2 linked regions of the Rattus norvegicus genome follow. The protein of the gene in region 1 interacts with the protein of each later gene in a pairwise test. Links are inferred from orthologs where the notes say so. Each region holds a gene or a part of one and is shown on either strand. Other genes may lie near its edges.

Region 1 (10,876 bases):
TCTAAGACTGAACCTTGTTCCCATGAAGAACAAGAAGGAGCCATGAATGAATACCTGGCCAGGCTCTTCAAGTCCCACACCACCACTCAGAGCTGCTGTTGTCACTTACAGCACCAAGATCCAGACAGAGAGGACTCAGAAACACAGTGGAGGACTCAAACTTGAGCAGGAACTTCCAATTTTGTACCAGTAAGCTCAAGTCATCCTGCCCCTGCCTTCCTGACAGCCTCCTCTGACCTCTGCCACCCTGGTGACTTTACCTAACTTCCCTGGATTGGCATCATCCCTGGGAAGCTTCCCATTTGGTTGCTTCCCAATCTCTCAGCCTTCCCATCTGTGAAGGGAGTAGCAATGGAATCCCATCTCTGGCTTGGCAAGATTGCAGTGTATCCCTGCAAGTGTCTGGGATGGTTAGATCTTGATCATCAGGAGTTTTACTTCACGTCATTAACATCTTAATAGTTGGTTATGGTGGCTCACGCCTGTAATTCTAGCACCTAGGAGACTGAGAGGAGAGGCTGGCCAGAAGTTCAAGACTAGCCTGGTTTCTTAAAATGTTCCAGACTTGGCTGGAGAGATGGCTCAGTGGCTAAGAGCACTGACTGCTCTTCCAGAGGTCCTGAGTTCAAATCTCTTTTTTTCTTTCTTTTTTTTTTTGGAGCTGGGGACCGAACCCAGGGCCTTGCGCTTCCTAGGCAAGCGCTCTACCGCTGAGCTAAATCCCCAACCCCTGAGTTCAAATCTCAACAACCACATAGTGGCTCACAACCATCTGTAATGAGATCTGATGCCCTCTTCTGGTGTGTCTGAGGACAGCAACAGTGTACTCATATATAATAAATAAATAGATCTTTAAAAAAAAAAAGTTCCAGACTAGCCTGGTCTATATGAGATCCTGTTTCAAACAGCAACAACAGATTAACTGAGATGTAAGTTGCTTACTATGCAATTTACCTTTGTGGTTTTTTTGGTTTTTTTTTTTGTTTTGGTTCTTTTTTTCGGAGCTGGGGACCGAACCCAGGGCCTTGTGTTTCCTAGGTAAGCGCTCTACCACTGAGCTAAATCCCCAGCCCCGTGGTTTTTTCATTTATTATATATAAGTACACTGTAGCTGTCTTCAGACACACCAGAAGAGGGCATCGGATCTCTCTACTGATGGTTGTGAGCCACTATGTGGTTGCTGGGAATTGAACTCAGGACCTCTGGAAGAGCAGTCGGGTGCTCTTAACCGCTGAGCCTTCTCTCCAGCCCACCTTTGTGGTTTTTTTGTTTGTTTGTTTCTTGTCTTCTTGTTTTCAAGACAGGGTCTCACTGTGTAGCTCTAGCTGTCCTGGAACTCACTATGTAGACCAGGCTGGACTCAAATTCACAGAGATCCACCTGCCTCTGCCTCTTTCAGGCGGAGATAAACGATGTAAGCCCCCACTGCGCAGCTGCAACTCACCTCTTAAGAAAATAATGGATGTAAGCCAGTGTGGTGGTGCGCACCTTTAGTCCTAGCACTTAAGAAGCAGAAGCAGTTGGATCTCTGATTTGGAGAATAGTGTGGTCTATAGAGAGAGTTCCAGGACAGCCAGGGTATGTAAAGAAACCCTATCTCAAACACCAAGACCCCCCCCCAAAAAAAACCCAAGGATTATATGTATATTTGAAACAGTGTCTCTCAATGTAGCTGGAATTCTCTATGGAGACCAATCTGGTCTCAAACTCAGAGATCCACCTGCCTCAGGTTCTGGGATTAAAGCCATGTGCCACTAGGTCAGGGACACTTTTCCCCTTGTGTTTCTCTCTCTCTCTCTCTCTCTCTCTCTCTCTCTCTCTCTCTCTCTCTCTCTCTCTCTCCTCTCATCTCCCTCCCTCCCTCCCTCCACCCTCCCTCCCCCAATCAGGCTTTGAGATTGGCTTGATTGGGCAATGGGGAATGGAGAAAGAACAGACAGGCATGAAGAAAATCCAGGGATCTGGTGGGCCGTGTGTTCTGAGGGAGACATCAGCAGCCTGGAAACTCAGCTGATTTATTATAGGAGCTGGAAGAACAGAGTTAGCTAATCTCCTTAGGGGATCTCTGCAGGGAAGCAGTCTCAGGCTGCAGTCATCTGGGCTTTCAAAATACACACACTGTCAGCATCTGTGCTCATGGAAGGCCTTGGCAGTTCTCTGAGCCTGACTTGGAGAAGGCCTTGCCCTTCCCACAGGTCCGAGTGGTTGGGTCCTATATTAATGGGATCCATGTTTGCTCAGGACTTCATCTGCTCCCCATACTTTTTTTTGCCTCTGTGGGCTTTGTTCTACATCAGAATTCCAACACACATTCACACTCATGCACACTCATACATTTTCACACACTTACATACTTTCACACATATACAGACATTCACACATATTTACACACATTTACACACTCACACATACATTCACACAGTCATACACATACATTCACATACAGTCACGTACATTCACACATACACACACTCATGTACAGACACTCTAGTGTGTCAGGAGTTACTGGGATTAAACTTTGGATCTTGGTAATGCCAAGCAAGCAGGATGCTACTGAGCTACACCCCTAACCCTTTATTGTTTAAAAAAAAAAAAGTCAGTGTTGTAGAAATGACTCTAGTATTCCTCTTCCAGACGACCTGAGATTGGTTCCCACGTCAGGCAGCTAACAACTTCCTGTAACTCCAGATCCACACTCTGTGCACACCTGCACTCGGGTGTACATACCTCTACACAGATGCACACACATATGCATCTTTAAAAGTTAATAAAAAAAATTTTTTTTTCCAGAGCTGAGGACTGAACCCAGGGCTTTGCGCTTGCTAAAGCGCTCTACCACTGAGCTAAATCCCCAACCCCAATACAAATTTTCTAATCAAGATAATGGAAGTTGAGGAGATGGCTTACTGGGTAAAATGCTTGCTACACAGCATGAGGGTCTGGGTTCTGATCCCCAGCTCTACCATAAAGACCAGCTGTAGTGGTGATGCATGTCTGTAACCCCTAGAGGGTCAGGGAGGTGGGGACTGAGAGCACACTAGCCAGCCAACCAATCTATCTAAAATAGTAAGTTCCAGACTCAGTGACAAACCCTGTCTTTTTTTTTTTTTTTTTTTTTTTTTTTTTGACAAACACTGTCTTAGGGTGGAGAGCGATAGTCTCCATTAGTACATAGGCACACACGCACATACCACACACATTACCACTCAGACAATTAAATGAAATGAAGCAGAATTTTTATTTCCGTCACAGCAGAGCGGAACATGGTAGTGCACGCCTTTCATCCCAGAACCTAGGAGGCAGAGACAGGCAGATCTTTGTGAGTTCGAAGCCTCATCTACTTAGTGAGTTTCAGAACAGTCAGAGCTACAGTTTGAGACTCTGTCGCAAAAAGACAAAACAAAAACAAACAAAAAAAGATGGAAAGAGGTTGGGAAAGGGAAAGGAAGGAAGGAAGGCCGGGTTATTGCCGCTAGCGGTCTGGGCCAAGCACGGGAGCCCTGGACACGCAACCCTTTCCCGTCTAGACCCGCCCTGAGACGTGGGCAACGCGAAGTCCCGCCCATTTACCCCTTCCTGGGCGCCAGAGGCACCCAGACTCCGCCTCCAAGGCATGATCTCCGCTGGGGGCGGAGGCGGAAACTGGGTGGGGGACTTGGATGGGAAGAGGGTCGGGAAAGGGCTGGCACTGGGCCCTAGTGTCCTCCGCGACCAAGTTCAAGCTTGCCCGCCTTCTCAGGGGCTTCCATTCATTTCGGGCCAAGACTACTGCTGCCCTCGCCCCCATACTATTGTAGCGTTGCGCAGGCAGGGCTTGGGGAAGCAGTGCCCTGAGTAAAGAGACCACCTGGGGGTGGTGGAGGTGGATACAGAGGGAATTGGACAATTAATTGTATGCCTGGACGAGGATCAGGAAACCTTGGATGAAGTTTTAGGACCATCTAAGAGTGTAACACTGGATAAAATCCTGAAAGTGGTAGCATTTGGAGATCTGAGGATTAAATAAATGTTTGTTAGGTTCTGGGAAGCGCAGAATCCGGTTACACGGAGGTGCGAGTGCACAGAGGGATTCCGGAGGCACAGGTTAGATAGGGTTTAGGTGGACAGAATAATCATTTTGAGTGAGGGCCTGGGGTCCCCAGGTGAGTTTGGGTGCCAAGCATCAAGGTCAATGGTCTAAGGACCCAAACATTGGGAAACTGACTAGGCGTCCACAGGCGACTCCAGGCAGCGCCGCGGGGGACCGGGTGGGGGCCTGTGGCCGGCCGGGGCGGAGAAGCCGGGGGGTCGGGGTCCCTCCCCCTGGCGCGGGCTCAGGAATCCGCCGAAGGGCGGGCGGAGGCGCCGGGGTGGGCCGCGGCGGGCGGGCGGGGGGCGCTTCCTGGGGCCGCGCGTCCAGTGAGCTGCGCGGTCCGTCCGTCCGCCCGCAGGCACTGCTGGAGTCAACGCGTGAGTGGCCTCCAGCGGAGGGAGGGCGCGGGCCGTGTTGCGGCCGAGTATATGCTGCGCGGAGCGGAGAGGCCTGCGCTTCATGACTCGTGGGGCGGGGGCGGGGCGGTCCAAGATTGCGGCCCTGAGCCCCAGGCCTGCGAAGGGACTCGGTCCCCAGCCCTGGAAGGTTTCGGTGCTCCCAGAACAGTCCTGGGACGAGATAGCTGGGACCCAGCCTCCCCTTCCAGATGGAGGGAATGGGGGGTGTCGTGGCAGAAACCCCTGACTTCTGCCCACCCCCTCTCAGCCCCAGGATGCTCCCATTTGCCTCCTGCCTCCCCGGGTCTTTACTGCTCTGGGCGTTTCTGCTGTTGCTCTTGGGAGCAGCGTCCCCACAGGATTCCGAAGAGCCGGACAGCTACACGGTGGGGACCTTGGGGTCACCAGCTTGGGATGGGATGGGAAGGACAGCGAGTGAGGCAGGATCCTGGGGAGGCTGCTTCTGGGAATGATTCTCCCCTGCTTGGTTGGTGGAAAGCTGGAGGCCATTGTGTGGAGCTGACCTGAGCATGACTGAGCTCAAGCCCTGGTCTTGGCCTGGCTAGTTGGAGGAGACAGCCAGGGTGGTCACTGGCCACATCGGGTTCCCTTCCAGGAATGCACAGATGGCTATGAGTGGGATGCAGACAGCCAGCATTGCCGGGGTGAGTATGTCTGGGGTACTAGCCATCTTCAGGAACTGGGAAGGGGATTACTTCTGTTTCCCAGGGACACCTTATCTCCCAGAGCTGCAGCAGGAACTTGATGGCCTTCCCACTGTCCACCCTGGTAGCCAGCCATCTGGTAGGCAGCCATGCTTCTCTTGTGCCACTCAATTAGGAGCCCTACCCCTTCAAGAGGGTGAACAAACTCTGCCTCTGTCCTGCAGGAGGCAAGAGAGCACCTGGCTATTGCCCAGAAAGAAGGAAATACGTACACCTTCCCTGAACTGCACTGCACTCTCCCAGCCCAGCTCTATCCCAGTGCACCCTGGGAGGGCAGTACAAGCTCTGTGGGTCAGGAGGCCTGCAAATTACTCTTGGGCAAAGGTAGAGGCAGGGATTTGAAGAGAAACGGAAACTCACATGGAGGCAGGAGAATGGGGGTAACAGTGTGAAATAGGGGGCCACACACCCAGTCCTGCAAATGCCTGGGAGGGGTTCTGGGTCGGCAGCCTTTGCTGAGCAGAGAGAAAGCCTTGCTGTGTTGCTCAGTTTAGAGAAGGCCAAGTTGGGCTTCTGCCTCCCACTACCTCCAGGGCCAGCCCAGGTGACTGGCTGTGCCCAGCAGGCCCCTCTCTGCAGATGTCAATGAGTGCCTGACCATCCCCGAGGCTTGCAAGGGTGAAATGAAATGCATCAACCACTACGGGGGCTATTTGTGTCTGCCTCGCTCTGCTGCCGTCATCAGTGATCTCCACAGTGAAGGACCTCCACCACCAGCAGCCTCTGCTCAACACCCAAATCCTTGCCCTCCGGGCTATGAACCTGATGAACAGGAGAGCTGTGTGGGTAAGTGGGGGCCATGCTGGCACCTAGGCTTCCAGGCCTTTTATAAACTTTTTTTAAAAAAAACTAACTTTGGGGGTTGGGGATTTGGCTCAGTGTAGAGCGCTTGCCTAGCAAGCTCAAGGCCCTGGGTTCGATCCCCAGCTTCCAAAAAAAAAAAAAAAAAAAAAAAAGAATAGAAAAAAACACTAACTTTGTATTTACTGTTCAAAGTAATGTGTTTTATCATGGTGCCATCTCGGCATATATCATTCTTGTTTCTTTTAATCCTCCAGTAGAGTTATTTTAGTCCTCCTTAGTTTGTTTCTTTGTTTTTGATTTTTGAGAGAGGGTTTCTCTGTGTAGCCTTGGCCATCCTAGAACTCAGACTCAGAGATCCACCTGCCTCTGTACCCCACCATCCAGCTATGTACTTTGGGTTTTGAGATCGTTTCTGGATTTGATTCCTGGCACCACAAAAAAAACACAAAAAACAAGTGTGGTAGCGCACACCTGTAACCCACCAGTGGGGAGAGAGCAAAAAGATCCGAAAGTACAGGTTATCCTCAGCTGCGTAAGAACTTTTGAGGACCACCTGAGGCTGCCCGAGATCTTACCTCAAAACAATTAATTAACAAAATAATAAAGTAATTTTCCCTATTTAATACCCCAGACCTCATGCTCCTTCCGTCTGGCTGCTCAGAGAAATATCCAAGTTTTCATCTACTGCAGGCTCAGTGCATGGTCTGCAGGCCCAGGATGTCCCTAGCAGCCTCAGTTCCTGGACAGACATGTGAGAGCTCTGCTCCCAGCCTCTGCCAGCTTTTTGATCTGGAGTCAGGTCTGGGAGGAGGAGAGATCCTGGCCCTGCAGTCAGCTGCGGGGTATAAATGGACAGGGCTTTATTTGTCTGTTTACTTATGTATTTATTTTTAAGACAGTGTCTCACTCTGTAGCCCTAGCTACAACTAGCTTGGCACTCACAGAGGTCCTCTTGCCTCTCTTCCCCCGCAGTGGTGGAATTGAAGGTGTGTGCCACCAGTTCCCACAAGACCCTATTTTAGTATGTTCTCCTAATGGGTACTTTTCCTGGTAATTCCTTGGTGGACTCTTTTTTGGACTATTGGGATGATCTCAATTAAATGTTCATGATTTGATGCCAACTACCCATGTGCATGGGCCCCCTCCTCACACGGTCCTTAGCATATGGGGGACTCCAGGCAAAGGCTGAATGGTGTCTCCCACAGATGTGGATGAGTGTACCCAGGCTATACATGACTGTCGCCCTAGCCAGGACTGCCATAACCTTCCTGGCTCCTATCAGTGCACCTGCCCCGATGGTTACCGAAAAATTGGGCCCGAATGTGTAGGTGAGTTCGGTGGCTTTCCTAAGTTCCTGCTCTGTGACCTTGGTCTGCTTCTTGATCTAATACCTTACGTCACCCCAGCCCTCTGCTGCTGGTGCACTCCTGTCACCAGACCCACTAGACATGTGGGCGACTCAACTCAGCTCCCCGACAAAGGCAGGGGTGAACGTGGGTGCTGAGGTGAGCTGGCTCAGGCCCCACCTAGCTTGTGTTCTACTTTCCGTCTCCTGCCTCCCATCTCAGACATAGATGAGTGTCGCTACCGCTACTGCCAGCACCGATGCGTGAACCTGCCAGGCTCTTTCCGATGCCAGTGTGAGCCCGGCTTCCAGTTGGGACCTAACAACCGCTCTTGTGTGGGTGAGGCTGTGCCAGACCAGGTTCTGGGATCCTGGGTAGAGATGGGTGAGGTAGGGGCAGGATCTCCTTCCTGAGCCCAAGTCGAGTGGGTGTTTGTCCTTGCACCCTCAGATGTGAACGAGTGTGACATGGGAGCCCCGTGTGAGCAGCGCTGCTTCAACTCCTATGGGACCTTCCTGTGTCGCTGTAACCAGGGCTATGAGCTACACCGGGATGGCTTCTCCTGCAGTGGTGAGAGTCCACTTGTGCTACTGGATACTGCATTGGTACCCCCCCCCCCCCGCACTTGCAACGTATTGGACCAACTCCAGTCACACAGTCATTTGTTTGAGGCTTCGATGTCTCGCTCTCTGCACCCGCAGGCCTTCATGAACTCCATCTTGAGCTGGTTGTTTGGCACTCCCAGCTTGGGGGGTTGGTACGATAGGTGCTTCTGAAGCTTGCTGGAGAGACAGAGAGGGATGGAGGTGCCCGTCTTCCTGAAAGTTGAGTTGACTTGCATTGGAATCCTGCACTAGGAAAGTCTCTTCTTCCTGGGCACATTTCTAAGGCAGATGGGCTATTTGGAGAGTTAGGGACAGTGACTGACAGGCTTCATCAAGTCTCAGGCAGAAAAAGTAGGTGCCATGCGTTTATAACTTAAATTTTCAGTCTCGTTTTATCTGGTCAGTGATGATTTACTTTTGTAAACAGAACATTAAAGGTGTGTTGGTGGAACTGTAGAAAGTAAGCAGAACGTTGAGAGACAGTGGTGACTTTCATCTTTCCCCTTACAGAGATGAAGTGACCTGTCCAAGTTCAGATGGGAAGGATGAGGCGGGGCTTGGGCTTACCCCAGGCATCTCAGCATGTCACCCGGCACACCCTCATTGTTGTGTGCTCTGTGAGGCACAGCATCATTGGTGTTTAGCGGTGTGAAAGGAGCAAGAGCAGACAGATAGGATGCTGCATGTGGGTCACACGCTCAGCCAATCTGGGCATTCTGACTGCAAATCGCAAGACTTACAGAAAAGAATAGAGCAGGTTAGCCCCTCAGGACACCTCTAGTCTAACCTACTCATTTAACTGGCTCAACGTGGACCAACGTGGCTCAATGTGGTACCCCCAAGCCTCTAGACTGGTGTTGCTTTTTAAGACAGAGCCTATATTACCGTGGCTGTTGTAAAGCTCTCTGTATAGATCAGGCTAGCCTACAGAGATCTGCTGAGTCGTGCTAGAATCAGAGGCACAGGCCACCATGTTAGGCTAGTGCTTTGTTCCGTATTCTTAAAGTCCTGGGAGAGAGGTGCTCTATATGCTTGAAGGTCTGCTGTTGTTTTGAGACAGGGTCTCATTGTGTAGCCCTGGCTGGCCTGGAGTCTCTTATGTAGACCAGGCTGCCTCACACTGACCTGCTTGCTTCCGCCTCTGCCTCCCAGATGTTGTGATCAGACACCCCATTGTTTGCTTTTCAAGGCACGATCCATCTTGTTATGTAGTCCTGGCTGGTTTTGATCTTAATATAATCCTGGTGGGGCTCCCCATGTGGATCAGGCTGACCTTGAACTTGGTATAATCCTCCTGCCTCTACCTCGCAAATGCTGGGATTGTAGACTATAGCACCATGCCAAGCTTCAAACCTTTCTATTCTTTGTCTTTTCTTTTTCCTCTCCCTTTCCTTGCTGGGATGGAACCTAGAGCTTCAAGCGTGTTAGGCAAGTACTCTACCACCGAGCTATATCCCCAGCCCTCTAACCTTCCTCTGAAACCTTCAGTCCCCCTTTTGAGCATTATGGGTTTACTTCACTCCCTCTCTCTTCCCACATCCAGCCTTATGGGGGGGCTGGGCTCTCTCGGTAAAGGTCTGTGGGACTTGGTTGTGAGGACTACCCTCGGCCCAGGGTCCTCATCCCCACCCTCCCTCAGATATCGATGAGTGCAGCTACTCCAGTTACCTCTGCCAGTACCGCTGTGTCAATGAGCCAGGTCGCTTCTCCTGTCACTGCCCACAAGGCTACCAACTGCTGGCCACAAGGCTCTGCCAAGGTACAGGTGCTTGGGTGGGCAGGAGTTGAGAGGCTGGCAGCTTACTGTCAGTCCTAGAGTCCAATTCCACCTCCCTTGGCACAGACATTGACGAGTGCGAAACAGGTGCACACCAGTGTTCGGAGGCCCAAACCTGCGTCAACTTCCATGGGGGTTACCGCTGTGTGGACACCAACCGTTGTGTGGAGCCCTATGTCCAAGTGTCGGACAAGTGAGTCAACCTGGTGGCAGTTTGCTGTGGTAACTACAATTTCCAGAGGTCTGTGGGGCTAACTGGTTTAGTCAGGCTGGTGAGTACCCATGACATCTCATGGGAATGAGTCGGGTTTTCCTCTTTAGGAAGTAGGTATTGGGGAATGGGCCTAGCCCTCACTGCTGTTTCGTGTTGGGGTCTCTAGCCGCTGCCTCTGTCCTGCCTCCAACCCCCTTTGTCGAGAGCAACCGTCATCCATCGTGCACCGCTACATGAGCATCACCTCAGAGCGAAGTGTGCCTGCCGACGTGTTTCAGATCCAGGCAACCTCTGTCTACCCTGGCGCCTACAATGCCTTTCAGATCCGTGCTGGGAACACACAGGGGGACTTCTACATTAGGGTAAGGTGCTTCTCTATTCAGACCCAACTGACTTATCTAAAATAGAATGCCTCAAATCACTTAAGTGGGAGCTGCCCTGCCTCCTCTCTCAGAGCCCTGTCCTAGGAAGCAGGGGTCACGGCAGAAGTCAGAGATGGTCCATATTCCTAGTGAACATGCTACAGGCAGTTCTAAGGAGTAGTTGGTTAGGGGGTGAGTCCCAGTACTGCTCTCTCCTGCCTGGCTTTGATTTCCTTATCCATTAAACAAGAACAGTTCCTGCAGGGCTGGGGTCAGGGACTCCAGTGTGCTGGCAAGGGGAAGTTAGGGAGGCTGGCGGAGGTGTGGGGCATCTTGGACGTGGGTCCTTATGCTGCCTTCAGCACTGAGGTGTTTGGCTTCAAAACCTCTTTGGGGCTGACATCACAGCTCCATGGCAGCTCCACTCAGTAGGCCCTCAGTTCTTCCCCAGCACTAGAGTGATGACAGAACTGAATACTTTGGAGGGGAAATGGGACACTCTTGGTCACCAAAGGCCCATCATCCCTGAAACTCGAGCCATCAGGTAGTCATGATGGAGGGAAACGCAGGGTG
Region 2 (10,801 bases), on another chromosome or scaffold:
GTCAGCAGGGGAGGTCTGTACCAGTAGGCGGCAGTGTAAGTGACCAGAAATAGTTAAATTCAACACTGACAGACTGAATGGAGGGTGACAGGAAAGAGTGTGGAGTGAGAGGAGAGGTGTGACGGGTTACACTGCAGTATTTAGAGTGCTGGGATGGGAAAACTCTAGAAGCAAATAGTTGCTTTGAAAGGCCATACCGGCACGTCAGTATCTGTTATTATTTATCTAAATAGAGAAACAGCACAGGAGTTTGGCATGTGTGGAGAAGCCATGGTAAAGGTCCTAGGAGAGAGATACATATTTTGGGGTCAATGCAGGTCAAATCTACCACACAAATGAACCAAATTACTCAGAAAAGAAAATTAGGAAAGAGATATGTCTAAGAACAGACTTGACTGGTCAGAAAATTGACTCTTTTTCTACCCATGGCCCACATCTGGCAGTCTCGTCAAATAAAAGTGTATCCACAAGTCTTGTTACACTCTGTCTCTTCCGTCTTCCTCTTTTCCCTCCCACTACTATCCCTGCACTTGAGCACCGTCACCGTCGATCATCTACCATAAGAACCCATTCACTCCTTCACTCTTGTTCTCTTTAACCCAGTTGCACCCAGGCTGAAGTGATATTAAAGCAAATCCAGCTGTGCCATAATTCTGGGGACATTTTCCAGTGGTTTTCTTCTGTAATTGGAATAAATCACAAAGCCCCATCACAGAACTGCAAGGGCCTCTACCATTTGCATAATCATCTCAGCTTAAGTTCCCAGTCACAGTCCTGCCTCCCTGACTACTGCTCCAGGCATGCTGTTCTACTTGCCTCCATCCCGCCATGTTTCTGCCACATTTGTCACTCGATCAGTGCTTTCTCTTTCACAAAAGCCAACTAAAATGTTAACCTTCTCAGAAAGTCTCTTTTCACTACCCTCAATACTTCTCATTATTCATTATTTCAACTCCTTATTTATGTAGCTTTTGTACAGTATATGATCTTATTTATAGTTTTGAAAAACAACTGTTTTTCCCACTCTGTTTTTTCCTTTCATGTTATTCAACTTCTCTTTAGTCCAAGCTGGCTTCCAACTTCCTACATAGTGGAGGATGATCTTAAACTCCTGATCCTCCCATGTCTACCTTATAAGCACTGGGATTATAGGCGTGCATCACTTGCCTGCTCTGCAGCTCACACTACTCTGTTTTATTTTGCACAGGACTAGGTCTTTGAGTTCTCAGTTTCTAGCATCCTGCTAGATGTGAAGGAAAGAATAAATGTATGACCTCTAAATGAGGGGTGGCCTCTTGTTCAGGCATTCATTTTGTTGTCTCAACTCACCAGGATCTGAGGTTCTCAGATGAATATCACGGTTTCGAAGCAACCAAGATGGGAGACCTCCCTTAAGGAAAACATAAAGGCAACACATGAGTAGCTAGGAGGGTTTGTTTCTGATTTGATACAGGGTTTCACTCTGTAGTCCAGGCTAGCTTCAGTCTGTCCCAACCTAAATTCTGGGATTACAGGATAAGCCATCTCTTCTTGAGCTTGAGACAAGTTGAGACAAGTTTTGCTTTGAGGTACAGTGGGGGAGGCAAGAAGGGAGGGGATTAAGTATAGCACTGGAAATGGCCCCTAGAGTGTGGGCAGAAAAGAGTTGAAACCCACAGGAACATCACCTCTGGTTCTGCTCTTTTCCAACTAACTCACCATCTCCCACTCAGCACAGATGTAAGGTCCTGGTCTCAGAATGACCAACAGGTTTGCTTTAGCTGCCTCATTCAGAAAGGCAGTGAGGTCCCGGCTGCCATTAAAGTTATAGATCCCAGGTTCTGGCTCATGGTAGTTCCAGGGCACATAACTGAGAAACGAAGATGTTAATAAGACCTAGAGTTTCCCTAGGAAACTCAGAACTTGCAGAGATGCAGCTAGAAAGAGGTTCTGGGCCGCCCTTTCTCACCCTTGCCTGAGGGGTCCTGGAGCTCAAACCCTTTACAAACCCAGTCAGTTTCCTGGGGAACCCCCCCCCCCCAATTTTAAAGAAGAGTAAACCTCGCTTTCACAAAGCTCTCGCGAGCACTTCTTACAATTGCACAGCGTTGAGGCCGCTCAATTTCATCTTGAGAAGTCGATCGGCCCAAAGAACCCGCGGTACGCGAAAGTAGTGCAGGCTGCCAGAAATATAGCGGAACGGGACCCCGTCCAGGAGGAATCTGTCATGTTGCCGATCCACTACGAAGGAGCGAGCTTCTGCCTGGAAGGGCAAAAGTCTGGCTCGAGTGGTCGGGAGTAAGGGTCAGTGTCTGCCAAGTGCTTAAGAGATAAAACTGGCCTTGTCAGTAGTTAGCTATTTCTCCACTGTTTTCTGTTTTTCCCTCCCCACACCCAGACAGGCAGTCTGACCCTCTCGGTTTACCTGGGACAGCAGCAGCAGAATCACAAGCCGCAGGAGCAGGGAAGGCAGGTCGGGTGGCATCTTCGGACCTTACAAAGTTCTTCTATTCAGTGAGGGCTTTCCCACCCGTCACGTGTCGGATTCCTGGGAGGGAACCTCATCAAGCAAAGGGGCGGAGACCACCTCAAGTTTTCAGGCCAGTTAACCCGGACTCTGCCCGTAGCCTTCCACCATCCACTAGTTTGTAAAATCCTCTATATATTACTTCTCGAAGTGCTGAACCCGAATCAACTCCATTAGCATCACCTGGGAGCTAGTTAGAAACGCAGAATCTCGGGTCCTACCCCAGACCTGTAGAATTAAAGTCTGTACTTTAACAAGCTTGCTCTTCTACGCTGAACTCTCGGAGGGCGGGAACGGCGTCTTATGTCCTCATGACTAGCAAAGGATCTGGCACAAATCAGGCTAAATCTATATGAATGGTAGCAGTAGGGTCAAAACGGATTCAGAAACAGTGGAAACCAGAAAATCTTCATGGTGATCATGACTATGAAAAGGGGAAATGGGTTACAAGGAGCCTGTTCTGGTCACTCTTATTTTTAAGGCGCACCCCTTTCCAATATATACCTGTCTGTCTAGGCAGGAGATGTGACGAAAACTGCATAAGCTTAGAAGTCTAATTTTCCATTTCTTCTGCCTTCACACCAGTGGATTTCAGGGTCAGGGTAGAAAATACTATAATTTCTGTTTATTAACACACACTGAAGGCTATGTTTCAAAAACTGTACAAAAGACATCTCATTTAGTTTTGAAACAGCCCATGAAATGATTTTCATTCTCATCTTACACACGAGGAAAATGAAGGTTGGAAATATTACGTGACTGTCCAAAGTCACAACTAGTTCAGTAGAGCTGGGATTGAACTAGTCACTTTGGCCTCATAATTCACAACACTTTGCTGTAGGTACTGACTTACAGCTGGGAAACATGCGGATCTGAAAGACTAATTCCTGGAGGTGACAAAGCTAGGAGACTGTTAGGACCAGATTTAGAAACTGGCATCTAGTTCAAGGGCACACTCTGACACTGGCCAGGTAGTGGAACACAGGCCAGACCCCTAAAAGTATTAAGGGGTCAGACCTCCAGGGATCTAAGGGTCAGCACCCGCCTTTCTCTGGTCCCTCCTCAAAGCTAGATTGTAATAAGTCACTTTCTAACTCCAGCGCGCGGGAGCTATAAGGCCTCCTACCTCCGACATTGAGAGACGGAGGTCCTAGGGGACTCGGGCAGAGCCCTGCTTTGCTCCCCTTTGGTACAAGTCCCTGCGTCTTGACCCTTACTGAAGGGCAAGTGGGAACCCTCGGCGAGATATAGAAACCAACCCACCCCAGGTCTAGCCCGGCCCCGGCCTCTCACTTCCGGGTCCCCACATCCTCTTGCCGCCTCTTGTTGCTAGGATACAGCAGGCCGTTACTTCGACGCGGACTGATGATGTCACCGTAGCTTCCGGTCCCTGGCCCTTTGCACAGGCAGGAGCCAGGTCACTGAAGAGTTTGTATTGGCAGATCCTGTGCTCGGTCCTCAGCGACGGAGGGTGGACTCGGCCAGAGGTGGGCTCGAGTCCCGCACCTACTGCGCCACCCCATGCCTCACGGGTGTGAGAGCTGGACCTGGCCGAAGGTGGGCCGGGGTTGAAGGAAGCGGCCTGGTAAGACACAGCGTGGCCTGAGGCTTTGGGGTGCCAGAACTCAGCCTTCTTAGAGCTGGAGTCACCAGGGACTGTTTTCTTTAGATGTGAATCTGGGTTCTCGGAGGTGAACCTGAGCTCTACTGGTTGGTATCTCAGTGGCTGTCTGGATTGTTCTTTACCCGCGACCTGCTGTTTTCATTCCAGCATGATCCGCCGGGACCCCAACCCATCGTCTGGAAGAGCCCACTCTCCCTGGAAGAAAGACCATCCTTGAAGAGGATGACTGAGACGCTATGGGCCATGCACTGTGTGTCTGTTCCCGGGGAACTGTCATCATTGACAATAAGCGTTACCTCTTCGTCCAGAAATTGGGGGAGGGGTGAGTGTATGGAAGTCACTTAGCTAGACCCAGGTCATTTAGGGGCAGTAATAGGGACACAAGAGTATTAGCCTTAGATTCTACCTCACCTGACCGGTTAGCTGAATAGGTCAAGAATTGTATTCTAGGCCCTGGCCTCCTGAATCTACTTTGTGTGACCTTAAGTAAACTGGTTTCTTCTGCTTAAACGGAGATGATTATAATGTCTCACTGAGGGACTGGTGAGAAAACTAAGTTAGATAGTATATTCTTTAAAACATGTCACCCAGTGCCTGGCTCATGAGCACTTACTAAATTTTGATTGTTACTTGAAATTAATTGAGCATCTTATGCTCAGACCAAAGGGTCTCAGTGATTTCTGTGCCCCTGCTCTTGAAGATGGCAGACCTTAACGTCTTGAAACTATATGAGAACTACATCGTGGGAGGGTTTCTACTCCATGTGAGAGGCACCCTTCCCTAAGGGAATTTCTCGGGGTCTAAGCCATATGGGAGACGACCGTGGTCCTTCATCGACCCCTTTGGCCCACAGTGGGTTCAGCTACGTGGACCTAGTGGAGGGCTTACATGATGGACACTTCTACGCCCTGAAGCGAATCCTGTGTCATGAGCAGCAGGACCAGGAAGAGGCCCAACGAGAGGCAGACATGCATCGCCTCTTCCAGCATCCAAACATCCTTCGCCTCATGGCTTACTCTTTGAAAGAACGAGGTGCTAAGCATGAAGCCTGGCTGCTGCTACCCTTCTTCAAGGTCAGAAAAGCTTGTGGTTATAGAGGGGATTGTAGCATTGTACAACCCCACCAAGGGCTCTGTGGGCAGTCAAATATAAATACCCTAGGAACACACACCCTGGTTTTGGCCACTTTATATTTGGGGCTCAGAGAACCATAGGATCCCCTATGAACTTGACATCACACATAGCCCCAAATGATCAGTGAGAGTGTATGTGGTAAAAGGGTTGACAGACTTCAACACAAAATAGAATCCTGGGAAATGGAAGCTTCAGAATGTCTCAACACGGAAAACTTGTGTTGTAGAGAGGTACACTGTGGAATGAGATAGAAAGGCTGAAGGACCAAGGCAACTTCCTGACTGAAGACCAAATCCTTCCGTTGTTGCTGGGTATCTGCAGAGGCCTTGAGGCCATTCATGCCAAAGGTTATGCACACAGGTCAGTGGGCGGGCCCTACACTTATTGAAGCCAGGGGAAAGAGCAATGCCAAGAGAAGTGGGGTTTCTCTGCACTCTCTTCATGGTGCTCCCTGGGATACCAGCCTACCTACCCAGGATGCCTTTGGGTCATTTTCACTTCCCTCCAGGGACCTGAAGCCCACCAATATTTTGCTTGGTGATGAGGGGCAGCCGGTTTTAATGGACTTGGGTTCTATGAATCAAGCATGCATCCAAGTGGAGGGATCTCGCCAGGCCCTAGCTCTACAGGTAAGAGAGTCCCCAGGTTTCTTTGGCCATCTCCTCCCCATCCCCAGACCATTCTGATGCATGCACCAATTTGGTCACATGATATGGCTTGTGCTCCACTTTTGAGCTCTGGGGACACTGTTCCAGGACTGGGCAGCCCAGCGGTGCACCATCTCCTACCGGGCACCTGAACTTTTTTCTGTGCAAAGCCACTGTGTCATCGATGAGCGGACTGATGTCTGGGTGAGGAGCATGTGGGTGGGAACCTGGGTGGAGAGGGGTGTGGCTTTGTAACTATTTTGGATTAAAGGGAAGGAGACTTGGTTTCTGTTGCATGGAACCCCAGAGCCACAGTATGTCTCCATACCCGTCCACTTCCTTCCTGGGAACCATCACTGACACTGTTCTCAGGAAGCTGTGCAATCACTGTGGCTGAACTGCTAGAGGCACTGGCTAAGCAGGGGCACACAGACCTCCTTCCTGCTAACATGGTTCCTTGGAGCGAGGTTGGCATATTTTTAGCTTACATGGTCTCCTTTTACCATAGCAATAAGGAGAGAGATGCCATTTTTCACCTTCCAGGAACTAACCAAATTATGCTCAGTCCCTAGGCTGTGTGCTTTATGCAATGATGTTTGGGGAAGGCCCTTATGATATGGTGTTCCAGAAAGGTGACAGTGTGGCCCTTGCTGTGCAGAATGACCTCAGCATCCCACAAAGCCCCAGGTGAGGAGTAAGAGGACACTGAGCATTGTAGACTTGGCCTAGAGCCAGCCGAGTTGGAATCCTAGCAGTTCTAGGTGTCCTCCAGTCCTCTGCCTTCCCCATCCCACAGGCATTCTTCAGCATTGCGACAGCTGTTGGCCTCTATGATGACTGTGGACCCCCAGCAACGCCCTCACATCCCTGTCCTCCTCAGTCAATTGGAGGCATTGCAGCCACCAGCTCCTGGCCAGCACACCACCCAAATCTGATCAAATCAGTGAGCATATTGGGAAGATGACCTTGAATCAGCTCTCATGCCTCATTGGAACTTCTGATCTACACAAGATGGGTCTCACCATTAGGGGCAAGGATGGTGGGTCCTTGTATATTCTGCTCTTATCCCAATACCTGGGCAAGGAGCCTAGGGTGAGTTGGGGGTGGGGGGGATGAAACAGAAAATATGGCTCAAAGCTGGGCTGCTGGGCGCACATCATGTTCTGCCTCCAGATCTGGCAGCAGGAGAATACATAAAAAGTAGAATAAAGTGAAAACAGTCTGTGTGTATTTTAGGTCAATGTGTCTAGAGGGAAAGAATGAACTCTGGTTGCCATTTCCAAGGGTATCTCCTGACAGGAAGTACTGGTGTGGTGTCTTGAGGCAGAGTTACTTGAGTTCTGCCTGCTTGACAGCAGGCAGGTCTTTAGCTTGCCTTGGTCAGAACCAGAGCCTCCAGCTTGAGCTGGTTTCTGTCTGTGCCAAGAAGTGGGACCAGGGTCCCTTTGAAAGCACACTCGACTAGTTCTGTCGTTCATTCCCAGGATGGTAGCTTAGAACAGCCCAGCTTGGCAGGTTTGCCAAGTCCATGACCTCTGGGTGGAAACACACCAGGTCTTTTCCCTTCTTCAGCAGAGGACAAAGGGAGTGGAGCTGGCAGCCATTTTTTCCAGTCTCCCTGACTATTCTAGCTCACACATGGTTAATAATTGATGAGGCTGGTGGCCTGTGGCAGTATCCAGCAGCCACTTCCTGCCCTATTTGCTGAGTAAACAGGCACCTTGCCTTAGCTGGGTTTTAAACCTGTTCCTCAGGGAAGGGCACTGCTTCCCTGAATCACCAGGGAGGGGAGGCAAGAGAAAGGTTGATGCTCCTGTTCTGGAGATTTTGAAGCTTCCTCCCCCAAGCCATGTCCACCCCTACATGCTGACGTCAACACAAGTCCTAGGGTGCCTATTAGTGAAGTATAATTTATCCCTAGGGTCCAGGAAGGAGGCTTCCGCCCTGAGCAGAGGCTGAGGCCAAAAGAAAGCACAAACAGAGGGGAGAGACCTGACTTTTAATAGCGTAGCTCCAGCCCCAGAAAGCGAGATAGACAGCAAGCTATGCAAAGCTGCCAGAGGTGCCCTGGCACAAACAACTAGGAGGTTGCCCTTGTTCCTGCCCATCCCCCAAGTTTGTGAGGTGGCTGTATGCCCAGGAACTTTGGGCCCGCACAGCCCCTATTCCCAAATCCTCAGTGTTCAACGAAGCCTGGGCCAAGCCTTGCTTCTAGAGCTGTTGAAGGAAGCAGCAGCAAGAGTAAAGTAGTCCAACCATCCAACACAGACACTCAGACATCAGTTCCTATTTCAAAAAGTGAAGACTTGTATCTTGTAATAGCTTGTAGCTGGACAGACAGGTCCAGGATTTGGTCCTTGTTTCTTTCCTATCCTGAGCGTCCTTAGGACCTTACATCGAAGTCCTTAGGTTCATACTTTCTGAGGCTCAATGTGGGACCCTTTGGCAAGTCTCACCTTCAGCCATGTAAAGGTAAAATAAAAGGTCACAAGCAGCAAGTAACAGGAGGTAGCAGCCAAAGCAGAAAGAGGGGGACAAGCAGAAGCTCAAGCAGTTACAAAGGGGACAAGAAACCATGCAAGGAGACTGTTTATTTCGAAAGGATTTTGCAATAAACACAGTGAACAGGGCTCCAAGTAGCTGTCTATTCTTCTCCCTCATCCTCGTCCTCATAGGAGTCGATGCCTACTTCCTCATAATCTTTCTCCAGGGCAGCCATATCCTCTCGAGCCTCGGAGAACTCCCCCTCCTCCATTCCCTCACCCACATACCAGTGTACAAAAGCCCTCTTGGCATACATCAAGTCAAACTTGTGGTCCAGGCGGGCCCAGGCTTCAGCAATGGCGGTTGTGTTGCTCAGCATGCACACTGCACGCTGCACCTTGGCCAGGTCGCCCCCAGGCACCACGGTGGGAGGCTGGTAGTTGATACCGACCTTGAAGCCTGTGGGGCACCAGTCCACAAACTGGATGCTGCGCTTCGTCTTGATGGCAGCGATGGCAGCGTTCACATCCTTGGGCACCACATCTCCCCGGTACAGCAGGCAGCAGGCCATGTACTTGCCATGCCGAGGGTCACATTTCACCATCTGGTTGGCAGGCTCAAAACAGGCATTGGTGATCTCTGCCACTGACAGCTGCTCATGGTAGGCCTTCTCTGCAGAAATGACTGGTGCGTAGGTAGCCAAGGGGAAGTGGATGCGAGGGTAGGGTACCAGGTTGGTCTGGAACTCTGTCAGGTCCACATTGAGGGCCCCATCAAAGCGCAAGGAAGCTGTGATGGAGGAGACAATTTGGCTGATGAGGCGGTTGAGGTTGGTATAGGTTGGGCGCTCAATATCCAGGTTACGGCGACAGATGTCATAAATGGCCTCGTTGTCCACCATGAAGGCACAGTCCGAGTGTTCCAGGGTGGTATGGGTGGTCAGGATGGAGTTATAGGGCTCCACTACAGCCGTGGACACTTGTGGGGCTGGGTAGATGGAGAACTCCAGCTTGGACTTCTTGCCATAGTCAACAGAAAGCCGTTCCATCAGCAGAGAGGTGAAGCCAGAGCCAGTGCCTCCTCCAAAGCTGTGGAACACCAGAAAGCCCTGGAGTCCTGTACACTGATCAGACTGAAAGGCAAGGAAGAAAGAACAATATAGGTGGGGGGAAGGCCTGAGGCATTTTCTAGTTTTACAAGGTCTAAAGTATCTCAGATGTTAGGACAAAGACTGAACGTCCATCCCCTAACAGCATCAAATTCTAAAACACAACTAGTGATGATCCTAGAAATGGACCTCAACACTTTCCTGAGCACAGAGTCCAAAGCTCCCTCCCTGCCAGGCTGCAGTCTCACCAGCTTGCGGATCCGGTCCAGCACTGGGTCGATGATCTCCTTGCCAATGGTGTAGTGACCACGGGCATAGTTGTTGGCTGCATCTTCCTTCCCAGTGATAAGCTGTTCTGGGTGGAAGAGCTGGCGGTACGGGCCATTTCGGATCTCATCTGAAAGACCGAATAGCACATTGCTAGGGCAAAAAAAACCACACGACTATGCTCCTTCCTCCTCCCCACCCACGGAGTGGCAGTTGAAGCCAGATAGATGAAAGAGTTAGCTCATCTTCCTGCCAACCTGGGATCAGCGTCCATCTTCAGCATCAAATAAAATCAAGAGGCTTCAAAGGTCACAAAAACCCAGTCAAGACATTCTTTAAAAGACACACTCTCCACCTTCCTCAAAGGGAACCCGCCCTGCTCACCAATTACAGTAGGCTCCAGATCCACAAAGACTGCCCGAGGCACATGTTTTCCAGCTCCAGTTTCACAGAAGAAGGTGGTGAAGGAGTCATCCCCTCCACCAATGGTCTTATCGCTAGGCATCTGCCCATCAGGCTGAATCCCATGTTCCAGGCAGTAGAGCTCCCAGCAGGCATTGCCCATCTGGACACCTGCCTGGCCCACATGGACTGAAATGCACTCACGCTGAGGAATACAGAGAAGGTCACAGCATAAGTCGTCATCCAGAACTACTCACTTCATTAGCTTCTTTCTCATCCTCTTGCCTATTAGCTGAGACTGCTCAGTTGGTCAAAGTATGGTAAGGTCGGGGCTCACAGAGGTCAGAAGCAGCTGGCAGCCTCTCCGGGTCTCCTCAATACAGGGTTCCCCAGACTGGAGGCATCCAGAAGGGCAGACCAACCCCTTAGCCTACTTCTCAGTAGAGAATTTATCAAGTGAGAGCTGTATAATCCTGTTACATCCACAGGATACCAAGAGAGGACAGAGAGGACATGCACACCCGACAGGGAGGGCTTCAGCAATTATAACGGGGGGTGCAGGGAGAGAGAAAGAGACACAAAGGGATATACACGGAAAGACAGACTTTCCAGTTGCTTCCAGTCCGTGC

Evidence for each region.
Region 2: the proteins of Efemp2 (region 1) and Stk16 interact in binary tests that used the Homo sapiens proteins (3 or more experiments, as listed by UniProt). The two-hybrid records come from large-scale screens. The link is inferred for Rattus norvegicus from reciprocal best matches to the Homo sapiens genes EFEMP2 and STK16.

Annotation. Positions count from the first base shown.
Region 1 is NC_086019.1:212,207,370-212,218,245, forward strand, and holds the start of Efemp2 (EGF-containing fibulin-like extracellular matrix protein 2 isoform 1 precursor), read left to right. Parts: upstream 1-4,352; 5' UTR 4,353-4,449; exon of another isoform or gene 4,450-4,679; coding exon of another isoform or gene 4,680-4,745; coding exon 4,746-4,856; intron 4,857-5,086; coding exon 5,087-5,135; intron 5,136-5,774; coding exon 5,775-5,981; intron 5,982-7,204; coding exon 7,205-7,327; intron 7,328-7,567; coding exon 7,568-7,684; intron 7,685-7,795; coding exon 7,796-7,915; intron 7,916-9,361; coding exon of another isoform or gene 9,362-9,378; intron 9,379-9,589; coding exon 9,590-9,709; intron 9,710-9,793; coding exon 9,794-9,920; intron 9,921-10,107; coding exon 10,108-10,303; intron 10,304-10,876. UniProt on the Homo sapiens protein: Plays a crucial role in elastic fiber formation in tissue, and in the formation of ultrastructural connections between elastic laminae and smooth muscle cells in the aorta, therefore participates in terminal differentiation and maturation of smooth muscle cell (SMC) and in the mechanical properties and wall integrity maintenance of the aorta.
Region 2 is NC_086027.1:84,150,389-84,161,189, forward strand, and holds Stk16 (serine/threonine-protein kinase 16), read left to right. Parts: upstream 1-3,896; 5' UTR 3,897-4,091; intron 4,092-4,277; 5' UTR 4,278-4,366; coding exon 4,367-4,452; intron 4,453-4,983; coding exon 4,984-5,203; intron 5,204-5,490; coding exon 5,491-5,624; intron 5,625-5,772; coding exon 5,773-5,893; intron 5,894-6,019; coding exon 6,020-6,115; intron 6,116-6,476; coding exon 6,477-6,598; intron 6,599-6,707; coding exon 6,708-6,846; 3' UTR 6,847-7,128; downstream 7,129-10,801. Other genes in the region: Glb1l (beta-galactosidase-1-like protein precursor), read right to left, coding at 1,330-1,390, 1,699-1,849, 2,076-2,242, 2,405-2,464; Tuba4a (tubulin alpha-4A chain), read right to left, coding at 8,556-9,527, 9,752-9,900, 10,155-10,377. UniProt on the Homo sapiens protein: Membrane-associated protein kinase that phosphorylates on serine and threonine residues. In vitro substrates include DRG1, ENO1 and EIF4EBP1. Also autophosphorylates. May be involved in secretory vesicle trafficking or intracellular signaling.